4 linked regions of the Drosophila melanogaster genome follow. The protein of the gene in region 4 purifies or fractionates together with the protein of the main gene of each other region. This does not show direct contact. Each region holds a gene or a part of one and is shown on either strand. Other genes may lie near its edges.

Evidence for each region.
Region 1: the proteins of Prosbeta1 (region 4) and Rpt2 purify together in Drosophila melanogaster (affinity purification with mass spectrometry, with the first as the bait; one large-scale study listed by BioGRID). This does not show direct contact.
Region 2: the proteins of Prosbeta1 (region 4) and CG7675 purify together in Drosophila melanogaster (affinity purification with mass spectrometry, with the first as the bait; one large-scale study listed by BioGRID). This does not show direct contact.
Region 3: the proteins of Prosbeta1 (region 4) and Prosbeta7 purify together in Drosophila melanogaster (affinity purification with mass spectrometry, with the first as the bait; one large-scale study listed by BioGRID). This does not show direct contact.

Annotation. Positions count from the first base shown.
Region 1 is NT_033777.3:23,929,342-23,933,339, forward strand, and holds Rpt2 (regulatory particle triple-A ATPase 2), read right to left. Parts: upstream 2,218-3,998; 5' UTR 1,986-2,217; coding exon 1,983-1,985; intron 1,922-1,982; coding exon 605-1,921; 3' UTR 552-604; downstream 1-551. Other genes in the region: CG31142 (uncharacterized protein), read left to right, coding at 1-71, 174-551; CG13599 (uncharacterized protein), read left to right, coding at 2,372-2,653, 2,715-3,320; RpS19b (ribosomal protein S19b), read right to left, coding at 3,517-3,678, 3,749-3,998. UniProt on the Drosophila melanogaster protein: The 26S proteasome is involved in the ATP-dependent degradation of ubiquitinated proteins. The regulatory (or ATPase) complex confers ATP dependency and substrate specificity to the 26S complex.
Region 2 is NT_033777.3:18,377,596-18,382,917, forward strand, and holds CG7675 (uncharacterized protein), read right to left. Parts: upstream 3,584-5,322; 5' UTR 3,437-3,583; intron 3,142-3,436; exon of another isoform or gene 3,024-3,141; intron 2,760-3,023; 5' UTR 2,759-2,759; coding exon 2,618-2,758; intron 1,770-2,617; coding exon 1,631-1,769; intron 1,373-1,630; coding exon 642-1,372; 3' UTR 529-641; downstream 1-528. Other genes in the region: CG14309 (uncharacterized protein), read right to left, coding at 4,354-5,322.
Region 3 is NT_033777.3:5,356,505-5,360,374, reverse strand, and holds Prosbeta7 (proteasome beta7 subunit), read left to right. Parts: upstream 1-2,010; 5' UTR 2,011-2,299; coding exon 2,300-2,451; intron 2,452-2,518; coding exon 2,519-3,020; intron 3,021-3,091; coding exon 3,092-3,244; 3' UTR 3,245-3,363; downstream 3,364-3,870. Other genes in the region: Cerk (ceramide kinase), read left to right, coding at 1-396, 825-1,027, 1,088-1,217; CG1161 (uncharacterized protein), read right to left, coding at 3,795-3,870. UniProt on the Drosophila melanogaster protein: Non-catalytic component of the proteasome, a multicatalytic proteinase complex which is characterized by its ability to cleave peptides with Arg, Phe, Tyr, Leu, and Glu adjacent to the leaving group at neutral or slightly basic pH.
Region 4 is NT_033778.4:16,013,300-16,016,580, reverse strand, and holds Prosbeta1 (proteasome beta1 subunit), read left to right. Parts: upstream 1-1,793; 5' UTR 1,794-1,884; coding exon 1,885-1,929; intron 1,930-1,992; coding exon 1,993-2,467; intron 2,468-2,535; coding exon 2,536-2,690; 3' UTR 2,691-2,776; downstream 2,777-3,281. Other genes in the region: EMC7 (ER membrane protein complex subunit 7), read left to right, coding at 1-56, 122-250, 317-442; Rrp42, read right to left, coding at 551-1,021, 1,076-1,241, 1,293-1,489, 1,547-1,603; CG8389 (uncharacterized protein), read right to left, coding at 3,045-3,281.

The sequences.
Region 1 (3,998 bases), on a different chromosome or scaffold from region 4:
CTGATGATGAAACTGAGTTTAAAGAGATCAGCTCGACTAATTATCATCGTGTGCAGGAAAAGGTGGCAAAGGTAAGTTTAAAATGAATTTGGCGTGGCCAGCTTTCATGATGAAATCAGCTGGCTTTACATTGCCGAGTAAACACGACTTCTAAATACCCTTTCCCTATCAAGATAAGCTATGCAGATGGCGTTGCCGATGGCAGGGAAAAGGTCTTCCAAGAGAGCTTCGATGAAGGCTTTGAGAATGGCTTTAAAACTGGATTCGAACTGGCCAAACTGAGTGCCTTCTATGAAACCATAAGCAATGCGGCGGGAGCTGAAAGCTCCGAATGGAATGCAGAACGAGAAGCTTATCAAAAACTCCAACTGGCAGATGCAACAAATAAAGCACACTTCACATATTTGGAGCATCAAGGCGCTCCACTCAACGTTATATCCGAAAAACAAAAGACCTACGTGGACGACCTCCTAGGAAAACTGGCACAGCAACTCCCGGCAACTACGAATTTATTCACATCGGGGAGCGATTCTAGTGTTAATGTGGTTTAATGCATGTGTTTGGGAATTATCAAAATTAACTTGAAAGTATATCTTCGCGCGACTTATAAATAAAGACCCTCGGGCGTGCCCTCCTTCTTCCGGTACAAGACGCTCTCCTTTGACTTCTTGAAGTCCTCGTTGGTCACCTTCATGCGGCGTTCCCGCAGCGCCATCAAGCCAGCCTCTGTACAGATGGCCTTGATGTCGGCGCCGGATAGATCGTCCTTTGCCATGATCAGTTCGCTAAGGTTCACGTCCTCGGCCAGCGTCATGCGAGATGTGTGGATGGTAAAGATGCGGCGCTTGGTCTTCTCATCGGGCAGCGGGAACTCGATCTTGCGGTCAATACGACCGGGTCGAATGAGCGCCGGGTCAAGGGTCTCGATACGATTGGTGGCCATGATCACCTTGACATCGCCGCGCGAATCGAAACCATCCAACTGATTCAGTAACTCCAACATAGTACGCTGAATCTCCCGCTCGCCACCAGAATTTGAATCGTAGCGCTTTGTGCCCACTGCATCGATTTCGTCGATGAACACAATGGATGGAGCGTGCTCCTCAGCCACACGGAAGAGCTCACGAACTAGCTTGGGTCCGTCGCCCAGGTACTTCTGGATCAGCTCTGAGCCTACAACGCGCAGGAAAGTGGCCGAGGTCTGGTTGGCCACTGCCTTGGCTAGCAGGGTCTTGCCCGTACCAGGAGGCCCATATAGGATGACGCCCTTGGGTGGCTTGATTCCCATTTCCTCGTAGTACTCGGGATGGGTCAGTGGCAGCTCAACAGACTCCTTGATCTCCTGGATCTGAGTGTCTAAGCCACCGATATCTGCGTAAGTCTCTTGCGGAGCCTTTTCCAGTTTCATCACCGTGACCATTGGATCGGTGTCGTCGCTGAGAACTCCGACTACAGCGTGTACTTTGTGGTTGAGCAGCACGGAGCAGCCTGGTTCCAGCTGATCCTTGTCCACGAAGGACAGGATGCTAACATAGTGCTCGGAGCCCACCGATGTGGACACGATGGCGTGGTTGTCGTCGATGATCTCCTCCAGGTTGCCCACGGACATGGGGGTGCCGCGCAGATCGTCAACCTTAGAGCGCTCCTCCTCGTTCTTCTCGTCCTGGGGCTTCAGGCGCTCCTGGTTGCGGATGAACTCGTCCTCCATCATCAGGTAATCCTTGATGCGCTCCAGCTTGAGCAGCTTAAGGCGGCAGCGGGTGTGGGGCGTGACCTGGGGCAGCTTCATGGCCGCATCTGGACCCTTTGCGCGCCTCTTCTTCTTGCCAACGCGCGTTGGGATTGGAGGCTCGTACTTCTTCTTTTTATCCTTGTCATCTTTCTTTTCGCCAGCTCCCCCTTGAGCCGATTGGTTTTGTCCCTGCAAATGTATTGTTCCCGATCGTAAATGAGTTCAGGGTGTTCTGAAGGTGCTATTTTACCATTTTGTCTTGGTGCTTGCTGCTTTGCCGAACGTTTGATGAACTTTTTACTCTTTATTGTCGGCAACAAAATTACTAGTCATTCGCGTTAGCTGTGTTGCCGTACTATGGAAACATGAAGGTCTGGCAACTCTAAGGGTGAACAAATATTTTAAAAAAACGTGAAAATTAAAATAGGCAAGAAATGCTTAAGCAATCGGATTAAAACAATAGTAATGATTAACAACCAAAATATAAATGAATTCAAGACTTGAAAAAAGCAAATTTTAAAAGTCACTGTTTTATATACTTATCGATTACTGTAAACAAACTGAATGTTTCAGTCTGGCAACGTTTGCAATTAGTGCGAAAAGAGCATTTGTTTAAATTTGTTATATTGCGACCTTTTAATGGATCAAAATGTCAAGAATGTTGATCTTAAACTGGATAACATTGAGGTTCTGACCAGTGGGACAACAGCGGAGTTCGTGAATGGCATCCTGGACTTCTTGCTCTATCAACGCCGGCAAATCCCCTTCGTGTACAAAACATACAAATATTATGTGGATAAATGGTCAGATGCTGATGAATCGGGAGAATCCAAGGATCAGGAGTCCTTTGCTCATTACCAACGCAACCAGCAGCGCTCTAAGGCAAAGGCCACCAAGGAATCTATTAGTGACATGAGAGAGGTGAGGTTCCCCTTACATCCAGGACTTCTTTTGGTCTTTACTTGCCAGTTCTCTCCTACAGATCATCCGACAAGCCTTCAGGAGCTCTGAAGTGAAGAGCCTGCGATTTCTTTTTGGCAACAATATGTTCATGCCCTCGGAGGCCTATACTCTGCACATACCACATGATTCCATATCCAGAGATCACTATTGCGAGCACCATGCTCTGCCCGAAGGTCGCATCAACCAGGCGCTGCTCCGCCTGCTCACCTGCGAGGAGCTGTACAGGCTATTCTCCACCGAACTAAAAGTCACCAACGTGTTTCTAGAAATGGAGCTCCTTACAGACTCCGATCGACCCCAAGGATCCCATTGTGACTCCTTTAATCTAATCCCAAAGCATATATTAAGCCAACTTCCGCGCAGCTGCAAGAACATACACCTGCATCTACTGCATTGCAGTGAAAACACACCGAATGAATTACGCTGCTGCAAGGAGATGGATATTTACCACGATCTTGGCGTGCGGAATCTGGATAAATCTGGGGAAGACGTTAGCCAGACCAACGAAGAGCATGACGTTTTGAAAGCAGCAAATGAAACCAGCGGTTGGTGGCAGGCCGAGGTCATAGTTCGCGGTTTCAGAGCTCCTGGCAACCAAAAATCGGGAGATTTGTGGTCTAGCTAACATTTTATAACTTGGATTCTTGCTATTCGGCGTGTTTGTGTCAAAAATAAAGTTTCGAATCGTTTATATTTCAAGTATTAAGTTATTTTATTATGTATATAATTGTTTAATTTTATTTTTGGTTTCGATTTATTGAGAATGTTTTGAAAACCCAAGGCACTCAAAGATGATCCATCGTGGTATTGGTATTATCATCTTAGGTAGTGATAATCATGGAAACTGGTGCACTGCGCTCTCGCTGCTTGGCCACAATCTTGTTGGCTATGCGATCCAAGTTACGTTGTCCTTGCGGAGTCAGCTTACGACCACCATCCGGGTGCCTCTCCACCATGTTAGCAGCTTCCAAGGCTTGAAGAGCCTGCTCATGTGTTAGATACATGCTAAGTAATATTAAATATAACCTTAAAGTACAACCATTTCCCACTCACCTTGCGAATACAGCCATCCGATGAGCGACAGTGCTTGGACGGACGAACACCGTTGCGCTTGCGCCCGCTATAGACCTTGGTGAAGGCCCCAACGCCGGCGGGACTGCGCAGGTACAGGTGTCTCATAATAGAGGCGCAGCGAGTGTAGAACCAGTCGTCGTCGGTAGGAGCAGTCTCCTTGAACTTGCCAGTCTTCATATAGACGGCCTGTTCGGGCACAAAAATTTTTCCGGATTTTTTGAGAAAAGCA
Region 2 (5,322 bases), on a different chromosome or scaffold from region 4:
TTAAAGATCATTTGACTAAGAAGCTGCAGCTACAAAATAAATAACGAGAAGCAATAAGTTGAAAAGTTCAAAACTTGTCAGAATTGTCATATCTAGTTACCTAGCAAAAGATTTATCGAGTGACTGTCAATATATATTACATGTAATACAAAAACGGTCCCCTTGCAAATCCAAGCCGAAATCCTGTGCCAATAAGAAGTCGAGTTCCCCGACTAACAGATACCCGTTGCTCAGTTAGTGTGAATGCGCTGTGTCTATGTATCTAGAATCTGTATGCTGCATCACAACCTTCTAGCTTTTAAAGTTCCTGAGATCTCGACATTCAGACGGACAGAGGAACATGGCCAGATCGACTCGGCTATTGATCTTGATCCAGACTATATTCTAGTCTTGATTCTAGTATACCCTTTTACTCACGAGCAACCGATATAACAACCAAGATCTTTGTAATATATTATATATAGTCAGAAATTTGATGTGCTTTTTTTTCTGACAGCAAATATATCATATTGAAAACGAGCCACATTTAATTATACAAAATCATTTTTATTGAGAAAACTTAGGCTACAGTAAACTCCCCCTTAAAAACAAGAAAAGTAAATCAGTAAATTGTGCGTTGGCTCTCAGCCGCAGACACCCGTCTAGATTTTGGGATCCTGGGGCGTAAGCTTGACAATCTTCACGGACTCCTCCCAGATCTTGAGACCCTTCTCCTCATCGAGGGCAGCAGCATTAAGGGTGGCCTCCTTGCAGTCCATGAAGTACTTTCCAGACACATTGGCCACCTCATTGGATGTGGCCAAATAGATAGTGGTCTGGGCGCCGGCCTTGGTGGTCTTGAAGAATCCCTTGGTGATGGCCATCATGGGCAAGTTGAGGGGGAAGGGAACGTTACGCCAAATGCCCGAGTCGATCATGCCGGGATGCAGGAAATTCACTGTAACCTTGGTGCCCTCCAGCCGCTTGGCCAGCTCCCGGGCAAAGTAGATGTTCGCAAACTTGGACACATAGTATAAGTAGGCAGCCGGGAAAGTGCCGATGGGATTGAGCTTGGCCAGGTTAACCGACGACAGGCGGTACAGCTCCGAGGCTACGATGACTATGCGAGCCGGCGCGCTCTTCTTTAGTACATCGATGAGCAGATGCGTCAGCAGGAAGGGTCCATAGTGATTGGTGGCCATGGTCAGCTCCACGCCATCCTCACTCGTCTGTCCGCGGAAGGCCAGAGCCATGCCGGCATTGTGGATAAGCACATCGATCTTGGGCTCGGTCTTCACAATGTCAGCGGCGAACTCACGGACGGACTTCTGGGAGCCCAGATCCAGTTTCTTGACTAGGATCTTGTTGTTCTTCGTCTCCTTGACGATCTCATCTGTGGGAAATCAACAATAAATTACAAAATTCGGTTATGTAAAAAAAAACATGGTTAATGCAACGCCAACATATTATAAGATACTTTCTTTAAAGTAATTACAACGTAAATATTTAATAAAAAAAGATCATTGGTAGTAAGCAGTTTTTGCCAGAGTCTATAATCAACTGGATGAGACCAGTTATCGGAATTTGACCGTGTTGCATGTCCTGCCAGATCCTTGGCATAACCTCATAGGCATTGTCTTGGTCCACTTACCCTTCACTGCATTGGCAGTCTCCAGGTTCCTGCAGGCCATGATGATGCGGGCTCCACGTCCAGCCAGATCCTTGGCCGTCTCCTTGCCAATTCCGCTGTTGGCGCCTGTGATAATGACTGTCTTGCCCTCCATCTTTGTCTGTAATCAATGTCGAAGGTTAATCATTTAATACGGCGCTGCAATCGAAAATTGGACGAGGGCGGTTCGAAAATATGTTTACAATACTAATTAGTTGGCGCTTGTTCACAGTCACAGTAATCGCAGTTCGTCTGGAACGGAAGCTATCTTAGTTTTCAGACCCATTAACGGGTCGCTTAATTGCCATTCGAGTGCTGAGAGCTTTCTGTGAATCAGAGGTAAGCGATCTCACAGATTGTAACCGAGATACCCAGAAGCTTAGATGTTTTGTGGGATACGAACAATGTTCGGTCAGGTGGTAATCGTAGCTCAGAGATGTGACGTACCTCGCCTCTCAGAAGGTATCTAATTTAATCTGTAATTAAGTCGACGCGTCACAACTGACCAATGTAATAACAAGATTGAAACACGTTAAGTTTTCCTAGTGGTGATTTCATATATAGTTAAAAGATTTCCATAGTCGGAATGCTTGGAATGCTACAGAATCGTTTTAATTATATGGGGTTTTTCCAGATAGTGATATATGTAGTTTTCTATAGAGCGGTAAGCTGAACCATTTTCAATTATGGATCTGTAATGTTTATCTGAATAGTTCGCATTTATATGAATATATAAAATTTGTAAAAGTTTTGAGCGATTAATAAGCTTAAGGTCGTGTCCGAATACTGTTTTAGTAAACTATCCCACCATCATTTGTATGTATATGACAGCTCATCTACAAGATCTGAAAAGAATTCGCAGCGGAAGTGGGAGCAACAGCCATATAAAGTGCGAAATATTCGAGTCGTGTCGCGATTCTGGGGAGCATGGGACTTGGTTTTTTGGATTGGGTGAGGTGCGTTCGTTACCTCGGTGAAACATCGTCCCGCCGTGATGCGCAGATAGAACCGAATGCTCATCAGGGTGGCCACTATGGCGGCCACTGAAGTCATGAGGAAGATGTCGCGCACATAGTGCTCGGTCGACAGCCAACCGAAGATGAAACCCATCCTACAAATATGCCGAGGTGTGTATACTATATATTGTATCTTCATATACGTATATATCGGTGTCAACATGCAAATCAGATTATATAATAACCGAAGCTGCCAAAGCCAGACGATTGTCTTAGGGCATAACGAAACGAGTTTGGTTTTGGGTTTTGGGGTTTCATGGTTTTGGGGATATTGGTTAGTCGGCGAAGGTTTTCACAATTCAAATCGTTTATCAGTGACTGTCAATAAATCAATTTCGAAAACTGTTGAGAAAACTTACACTTTCACTTTCACACATGTGCGTAATTATGGCTTATTATGATGAAACGCCGAAAAAAATAACATTCAACCAAGTTCATTGACAGCCCAAACGAAAGAAGGTTGAACAAGAAAGAAAGTCTGAAGTTTCATGTCGTTTTGAGTTTCTGGTTTTTTCTTCTCTGTTTGTTTTTTTTTTCCCCCACCGTCCACGTCACAAAGATTTCCAAGAGCTTTCCTCAAGACTCGAAGACTGGCTCTGGTTACGCTTGCATGCACCATTTAAGAACCCCCCCAACCGAACCACGCCCTACAATGCAGTCTCGAAAAGAAACAAGATCTATAGATGTATGAAAAAGTCTAGAAGTGACCCGTTTTTGGGTTTTGTTCCTCAACTTTTGCCAGTCGGAGACGAGTTTTTTAGTGCAAACTCACCTGTTTTGGCTGTTGGCTGATCTATAATTTATTCCAACTTCTGCTGACCTGCACTTTGGACTATATCTGCGCTGCGAAATGGAATTGGTGGATCCAAGAGCTAGTGCCACAACCTTCGCCTTGAACGACTAATCGGAGACTGAAGTCGGAATTCCGATTATAAAGCCGAGGCTGCGGAGAATGCGCGATCGTCTCCACCGGTTTGGTATTGCCGTGGTCGCGGTGATTTTGTTATTGCACTTATAGCCATGGTAACAGGTTAGCCAAGCGGCTTTCCGGGCTCCTCTTTGGGATCGTCTTCATGAACGGTTCACTCGCAGCGAAAGAGCGAGCACAGAGTGGAGCCAAACTATAATACATAGTTACCAGCGGTAAGAGAAAGATCTGGGTAGTGGATTCCAAGAAAGTGTGTCTAGAAAGCCACCTGTCGGGGGCTTCGCAAAGCTTCTTTTCTAGTTATGCAGCTCGAATGATGAGCTTGAAATAATGTAGAAAATAATAATGGATAGTAATTAACTTTTTTAATGACCAAGACTTTATTACTATTTGAAGTACTACGGGTAATTGTATAAACATGTCAGATAAAAATCTATTTTATTTTTCATTTCATATATCATTAACCGAGATACCACTGAAATATATCAACATTCTTTTCAATTCAATGCATTTTATTATAGAGATGACATATTCACAAGTACAATAAAGAATGCTCAACAATCTACCACAAGCTTAGTCTAAGCCCGTCTAGTTCGTTGCCTTAGTCCTGTATATAGCTTTATTTGAAAAATATAATTCCCTTAGAATTATCGCTCAAATATAATTCCTTTGAATGCAGTAATGTTTGAAAATAAATATATATTTACATTCGGTTATAATGCTGGCAGTTTAAACAAGGTCATATGGTAATATAAGTCATTCTACTTCTCAATGCTGTTTTGTCGGCGGGGTGGTTGGGTTTCCGCATCCGTTTCCAAGTGCTTGGTTAAGGTGTTGTACCATTCGTTCATATGGTTGGATATGATGTTGATGAAGCGAGATACCTTTGATTTCATAGTGCTCACGAGGCTTTCGGAGAGTTTAGTCAGACTACGACCAGAGGCCAGCGAATTCTTGCTGCTGATCCTCATGATCTTGGATTCCTTTTCCTCCCTGGGCTGGCTGGCATCCTTCTCTGCCTCGTGATCCATCTTGTACTCGTAGTAGGTGTACCTTCCCAGCGGCATCATCTCATCGCGATCTGCCTTGTCTATGGCATTGGAGGGCAGTTCAGCCAGGGAATTAGTGTTAAGTACGGCACGCCGCCTTCTCATAGCTGGTAAATCCCACCAGGAAGTGATACCCTCATCGGCTGGCTTTTGAGGCAATTTCGAATGAAGAGTAGGCGTTGCCTTCTTTCCCTCAAAATGATCCTGTATGAGGGACTTCCTACCGACATTCGCCGACTCCAGGGAACTTTCCCGCATGCCCTCATCTCCTAGAGAAAACTCGTGTTCATGCTCGTTGATGTGGCTGAGGAAATGCTTTCCAAGCTCTTTTTGGGCCTGCAAAAAGTCGTTGGCCACGTGACCTAGCCTGGAGTGACGCCTTCTAGCACTTGGCACCGGTTGCACATCCTCCTCGGGCTCGGACTCTTCAACAGACTTGGGTTTTTGGGACAGACTAGCCTTGGCCATGGTGGCCTTGCTGGAGAAGGGTTCCGGAAATAGCAGTGAGTTCAAGGTGGCTCCCAGATTTAATCGCTTGTTCTGCTTGGGAGCTGGTAGGGCCTCAAAGAATTCCGTGGGCAGTAGACGCAACTTGGGACGCCCTTCTGTTTGCTCCGGTTCCTGCTCCTGTTCATCCTCTTTGTCCTCCCTTTGAATGATCTTTAGCTGACTCTTGGACTT
Region 3 (3,870 bases), on a different chromosome or scaffold from region 4:
GCCAGCAGCATACAGGAACAGCGATCCTCATTGTTCATCCAAGAGGAATCTAAAGAGGCAGAGCGCAATCAGCAGGTAGAAACAGAGGACTCTCATCTAGCCGCCAGTGAAGCAGCACTCCTGAGGCCTCGTCCGCGTCCAGGCAATCTTCGATTGCCCACTGGCTCCATTTCATCAATGAGGAACCTCGGCAACGATCAGTGGAAGGTTGTGCGGGGCAATTTCTTTATGATCTGCGGCGCGAACATAACCTGCGCCTGCGCCAGGAGTCCCAATGGCATCTCCCGTTACAGTCATCTGGGTGATGGTTGCCTGGACCTGATTCTCGTGAAAAAGACCTCACTGCTCAACAACGTGCGTTTTCTGCTCAACACGGCGGGCAGAAGTGGTGATATTGTGAGTACTAACTATTACAACTATTCAACTTTCACATCCAAAAGAACACCTTTCCTATAAGAGGCGTCCATTTCCTTTGAAATAACATTTCCATAACATTTTAACTGCATCTTTAATTGCCAAATCCCCTAAGCCTACAAGCTGAGCTTAGTGCTTTCTATCCTAAAAGCCAAAAACCCAAAACCGAACCCCATCTAGCTCGGATTGAAGCGAGGGAAATCTGTGACAGAAAGGTTATTTTACGAAGATCTACTAGCCGCTCTGGTGGCATCCATATAAAGTATATACTTGACCAGTTTCAACAATATAATGTTTTATCTAGTGAATGCGATGGTATCTTTTACTGTAAAAATATAAATGAAAAATAAAAGGATACAATTAAATTTTGTAGAAAACAATAAATATTTAAAAACATTTTCCCATTGCAGCGCAATTTGCCTTTTGTAGAGGTATATCGCACAAGGGAATTCCGGTTCAGAACTTTTTCTGCCAGCGAGGAGGACTACAGCTTGGCAGGGTCTTGTCAGCCGATTACACCGCCTGAAGAAATGACCGCCCACTCCTCCTCGACGGAGTTTTCCAGCTGGAACTGTGATGGAGAGGTGGTGACCGACCTGGACATAACCATGCGGTGAGTTGGTTGTACCTTTAACTTCAATAAATCGCTTATTAACCGTTCCGTATCTGGCAGATCGCATTGTCAGCTCATCGAGGTCTTCATGCGGGGTCCCCATTCCTACAGCAAGCCCCTCAAGGGCGGCACCACGCCCACAACCCCAGCTAGCTCTAGCGACAATGTTTACTGCTGCTGCAAGGACTAGAAGCTTTAACCCCATAGAATTAGCATCAATCGTTGGCCGTGACATGTAGCTCTTAGTTTTGCGTAGGGTATCCTTATTCGTATATGTATCGTGTTAAAGAGCGGGTCTCCCCGTCATTGTTTTTAGCATAGCTCAATAAAGCAACTGATATTATCGACTGTATTATGGCATCTGAAAGATGCGGCAGCAACCTAAACATTCCCCTCGGAAGCATTATGCACATACCTATATATTTACAAATTGTGTACTGGTATACTGGCAATAAAAATGTATTTATATGTCTTCAAATTTATAATTCTTTATTATTAATTTATATGATCAAATGTTATGATAAAAAACTTCGTTGGGTTCCCAAAAACAACAATCCGGAACATGTGCGTTTTTCCCACCAATATGAATAAAAGCAGAAGTTTTAGCAAAAGAACCTTATTCCGCTTAAAAAGCTATGGAGAATCGTGTTCGAAGGGAGAGAAGGGAGATATTGGATTTGTAGATTGACCAGGATAATTTCCAAACGTCATTTACATTTATTGCTCTCGATTCTTATACTTTAATGACCATTGAACGGCTTAAAATGAAGTAAAGCAAATGGTCATTATATATTAACTAAACATATATTTAGTTTCAAGGAGTAGTAAATACCGTAGAAGCAACGGGTATACATGAGTCTTAATCCTAATTGAGTGAAAAGTTCTTTAATTTCTTATCTTTCTTCTCCTTGATTTGTATTATCAACGAGGATTATAAAGACAAAAGTAAAAAAACAAATTCAGTATAGGCAGCGTGGTGTTAACTGTTTTACATTACTTTTAACATCAACATCTAATAAAATGTTAAAAAGTTCACAATTAAACTTCAAATTAATTTAATTTAACACATGTAAAACGGTGTGACCAAGCTAATAGTGGATTCATCTTTGGTATGTCTGGTATTTTTAGCTACCGGTTGCCGATACTGGTATTGCCGCCCGCCTAAAGTCTGTTCACACTGCGCTGACTCTTGATTTTATTTGTGCCCGTCATTCTCCGGCAGCGACAAACATTTCAAAGTCTCGCGTTATTCCAGTCTCCGAATAAATTAGCATGTTGAACAACTACAACAGCCTAGCGCAGCCCATGTGGCAGAACGGACCCGCTCCCGGCGAGTTCTACAACTTCACGGGCGGACAGACGCCGGTCCAGCAGCTACCGCGGGAGCTGACCACAATGGGACCCTATGGAACCAAGCACAGCACGTAGGAACTGCGGATATGTTTATATGCAGATGTACCACTTGTTTACACTCCTTTTACTATTCCGCAGTGCTTCCAGCACCACGGGCACTTCCGTGCTTGGCATTCGCTATGATTCAGGAGTGATGCTGGCCGCCGACACCCTGGTGTCTTACGGATCCATGGCCCGCTACCAAAACATTGAGCGCGTCTTTAAGGTCAACAAGAACATCCTGCTCGGCGGGAGCGGCGACTTCGCTGACATCCAGTCCATCAAGCGCAACATCGACCAGAAGATGATCGAGGACCAGTGCTGCGACGACAACATCGAGATGAAGCCCAAGTCCTTGGCCAGTTGGATGACCCGTGTGCTCTACAACCGTCGTTCGCGGATGAACCCCCTCTACATTGACGTGGTTGTCGGCGGCGTGGACAACGAGGGGACTCCGTACCTGGCCAACGTGGATCTCCGTGGACGATCCTACGAGGACTACGTGGTGGCCACTGGTTTTGCCCGCCATTTGGCCGTTCCGCTGGTCCGTGAGAAGAAGCCCAAGGACAGGGACTTTACCGCCGTAGAAGCTTCCGAACTGGTAAGGAATTTCGAACTCTGATGGGGGGACTCTTCATTATTTAACTACCCTACCATTTTCTTATATTCTAGATCCGCACATGCATGGAGGTGCTTTACTACCGCGATACTCGTAATATTTCCCAATACACTGTGGGCGTGTGCAGCGTCAACGGATGCGGCGTGGAGGGGCCCTTCCAAGTTAACGAAAACTGGACATTCGCCGAAACCATAAAGGGATACTAGAGCCTCCGATTCTGAATGAACTTAGTTTAGGTCTAGCTCGGCGGTTTTGCATTAAAAAAAAACACTTGTCTAAGGATATGTGGTTACATGATTTATTAAAAATAAATGTGGCTGAAAATAATACGTTTAAAGTTATGGTTATTGTGTGATAGAAACTATCTTCGAGTTATTCTTTCGTTAATCTCTACTGATGGAATCAAAAAGTAGGCGTCAAACTAAGAAGCCCAAGGGAGTTTCCAAATCTAACTTGGACTCACCATTACGGTCTTACGTTCCTTATTTTCCCAAATTATAACCATCAATTATCATTAAAAGTTTTATTTTAGTGGATTTGTTGGTTATTCCTCCCGGCATTCAACTTATTAATTAATATGCAAACACTCCTGACAAACATATTTTGGTTTATTTTAATTAACATAAAATCTGGCTAAATATACAGATAATCAATTTGATCCAAAGGGGAATTTCGCAAAGGATAACTGCTTGGAATACGTGTCTTAAGTCGCCCATGCGCCTCCTAATCTCCGCCAGCTGCAAACCGAACCCCTTGTTAGTTTAGCATGGTATGCCTGTCGTAGATGTGGCGTCTCTGCTCGCGCACCTGCCGCTTCCACTTGTCCTGCTGG
Region 4 (3,281 bases):
TGCGCGTGAAGCCACTGATGCCCTTTAAATACTTCCAGACCAGAGAGCAGTGGAAGGTGCATCATTATATTGCCACCAACGGAAGAATCACAAAACTAACTTTTGCTCTTGACCCACACAGATCACCGACTTCTTGTTCAGCCCCATGGTCCTAATGATGGTCTTGCCTCTGCTCCTTATGCTGGTGCTGCCCAAGATGATCAACGATCCCGAGACAAAGAAGGAGATCGACAATCTGCAGTTCCCAAAGGTAAGCCGTGAGGATCATGTATAGCACAGCACTATAGTATTATATGAATCATGCTCTGCTCCACAGATGGGCAACGATATGCCCGAGATCAGCGAAATGCTGACTTCACTGCTAACGGGCAAGCAGCCCGAGCCCAAGGAGAAGAAGCCTGCTCCGGCCGTCAGGCAGGCGAAGAAGCGCAAGGACCAGTAGTAGTTGGCCACCAGATAGCTTTTAGTATTAAGCTTAATCGGAGCGCCGAGCTCCAAGTCAGAGTCAGATCGTTTAAATAGTAAATTTTCATTACAAGACTTTGCCGCTTTATTTAAGAAATCCTACTATTTGCGGTCGCTTGAGTCCGACGCGCTGCTGCTCCAGATTTAGCATTTTAGTGAGCAGCCGGTCCAGATGCTCGCCAATGGCCAGACCCAGCTCCAGACAGTTGCGCATGGTGTCCCGGTGCATGGCTCCGCCGCCGGTCAAGTGTGTACCCGAAAGGAATGCCTGTCCATTCCGCATGGAAACTGACACAACCATGCTCACTGTGCTGCAGACTTCCTCCTCCGCCGAAGGATCCACCAGGACATAATCACCGATCTTGCAAACTGTGACCAACAGCGGAACCGTCTCGATGCCGATGCGGGTGCAGTCATACGGATTGTCCGATATGATGAGGTCTGTGATGCCGGCATCCAACATGGTGGCTGTCACCCGGGGCAGCTTTGTGTTGAACAGAGCCGCTTTGGCGGCCAGCGACACTGCGTCGTGTAGATTGCCGCCACACTCCAGAATCTGCGAGAACAGGGATTAGCATTTTCGGTATAATTAAGCACACTAGAGTCTAACCAGGATGTCTATGTACAGCTTCCAGCACTGCTGACCCGGAATGAGGCACAACGTGCGGTAGTTGAAGGCCAATGGCGATTCGTAGGCGTTCTGCAGGGAGAGAATAAGTTCTTGGGCCAGATCCGAGCCCCCGCGTCCTTCAAACTCCGGCGTGGCATTAGCAGAGCTGAAATATATATGTTATGGCATATTCTTCGAACTTCAGTTGCATCATTACCAATCCACAAAAAATTCCAGTTTACCAAACTCGGGCGTCAGCGGGTTGGGTACATCAATCTCGGTTTTGACGCCCACCAGTATGTCTGTGTTCGCCAGCCGAAGGCGAGCGGATCCACTGGCATTGCTAACCAGTCCAGTTTCCAGGTCCATGGGCCGGTAATCTCGTCGTGAACGTCCATCGCAACGAAAGTCATCCTGGAAACGCATAGTTTAAGGTACAGACTATATTTCTTGCATAACCGTTTAACACACCTCCACGCCGTGTAGAATATATGTTTTTTCAGCTTCGCTCAGTGCAACGTATGCCATTTTAGACTTAATTCAAGAAAACAAATATTCAAAACAAATTCAACATGTGCAATGAACCCACATCGATACTATCGATATACCGCAAAGCAGGGCTGCTGGCACTTCGTTTTTACTTTACTGAACTGTTGTCAGTGCGAAAGGTGTATGTTTTCATTTGAAGCATTTCATTTCACATCGCCATCTGGTAACACTTATCCAAAACAAGCCAGTCATTTCGTGTTCGTGCGGCGTTTCAACAAATATCAATTGTAAATTGAATTGTAACAAATTTAAAGATCAATATGCAGCCCGACTTTGATTTCACCGACACACCGGTCAGCACTGGTGTAAGTATGAAGAGCATCAGCCACATAACTTCGTACTAAGAGCACAATCCTACCTATTTGCAGACCACCATTATGGCAGTGGAGTTCGATGGCGGAGTGGTCATTGGAGCCGATTCGCGCACCAGCTCGGGCGCCTATGTTGCCAATCGGGTCACCGACAAGCTGACCCGCATCACGGACAAAGTGTACTGCTGCCGCAGTGGCTCGGCCGCCGACACCCAGGCCATTGCCGACATTGTGGCCTACTCGCTGAACTATCACGAGAATCAGACCAACAAGGATGCTCTGGTGTTCGAGGCCGCCTCAGAGTTCCGTAATTACTGCTACAGCTACCGCGAGTCCCTGCTTGCCGGCATCATTGTGGCTGGGTGGGATGAGCAGCGCGGCGGCCAGGTGTACAGCATCCCGTTGGGCGGCATGCTGACCCGCGAGTCCTGCACCATCGGCGGATCGGGATCTAGTTTTATCTACGGATTTGTTAGGGAGCACTACCGCCCCAATATGGCGCTGGAGGATTGCGTTACATTCGTCAAGAAGGGTAGGTAATCCCAAAAAAACCAAAACAGTTTCCCTTCAATCGAATCCCATTTAAACCTCCTCCAACAGCTGTCCAGCACGCTATCTACCACGATGGCAGCTCCGGTGGTGTGGTGCGCATTGGCATCATCACCAAGGATGGCATCGAGCGACGCATCTTCTACAACACAGAATCGGGCGCATCGGCTGTTTCCAGCACTCCCAGCTTCATTTCCTCGGAATAAATAGTATACCTACCCAAGTAAGATCGATCAGAGAAAGAGTTGCAAACTCGTCTCATGCTAATAAACCTGGTTTTTGTAATATGCATACTTTAATTTGTATTTTGGCTCTTATGGCAGTACAAAAGTTAGGTCTAGGGGCTAAAATGGTAATAAATAATCGAAAACCTAAACCTAAGATGCATAGTCATACAGATAGTGCTGTTCCTGACACTGGTCCTTCCTCACAACTCAGATAACTACTGCGGCGAGAGTGGAATGTTCCCTACGGGGAAGTCATTTCATCGCCTATCACATGACAGTCAATACCGATATCCTTCGCTTAAACTCTTATCCAGTCAGGTAGTGACCAGAGATTTAGGAGTTGAGTTTGGCCACTTCAGCTGCGTCTATAGACTGCGTCTCCATGGACTTGTTGGTGGCACATCGCTGCCTGCGGTGGCGGTACAATATCTCCGGTGTCCAAACAAGAACCACCACCAGCAGAATGACTCCTTGAGCATAAAGGCAGATTAGGTAGGAGTCGGCGTAGTCTCGCACCCATCCCAGCAGCTGGCCCACTGTGATAACAATAACGCCCTTGGACATCATGCT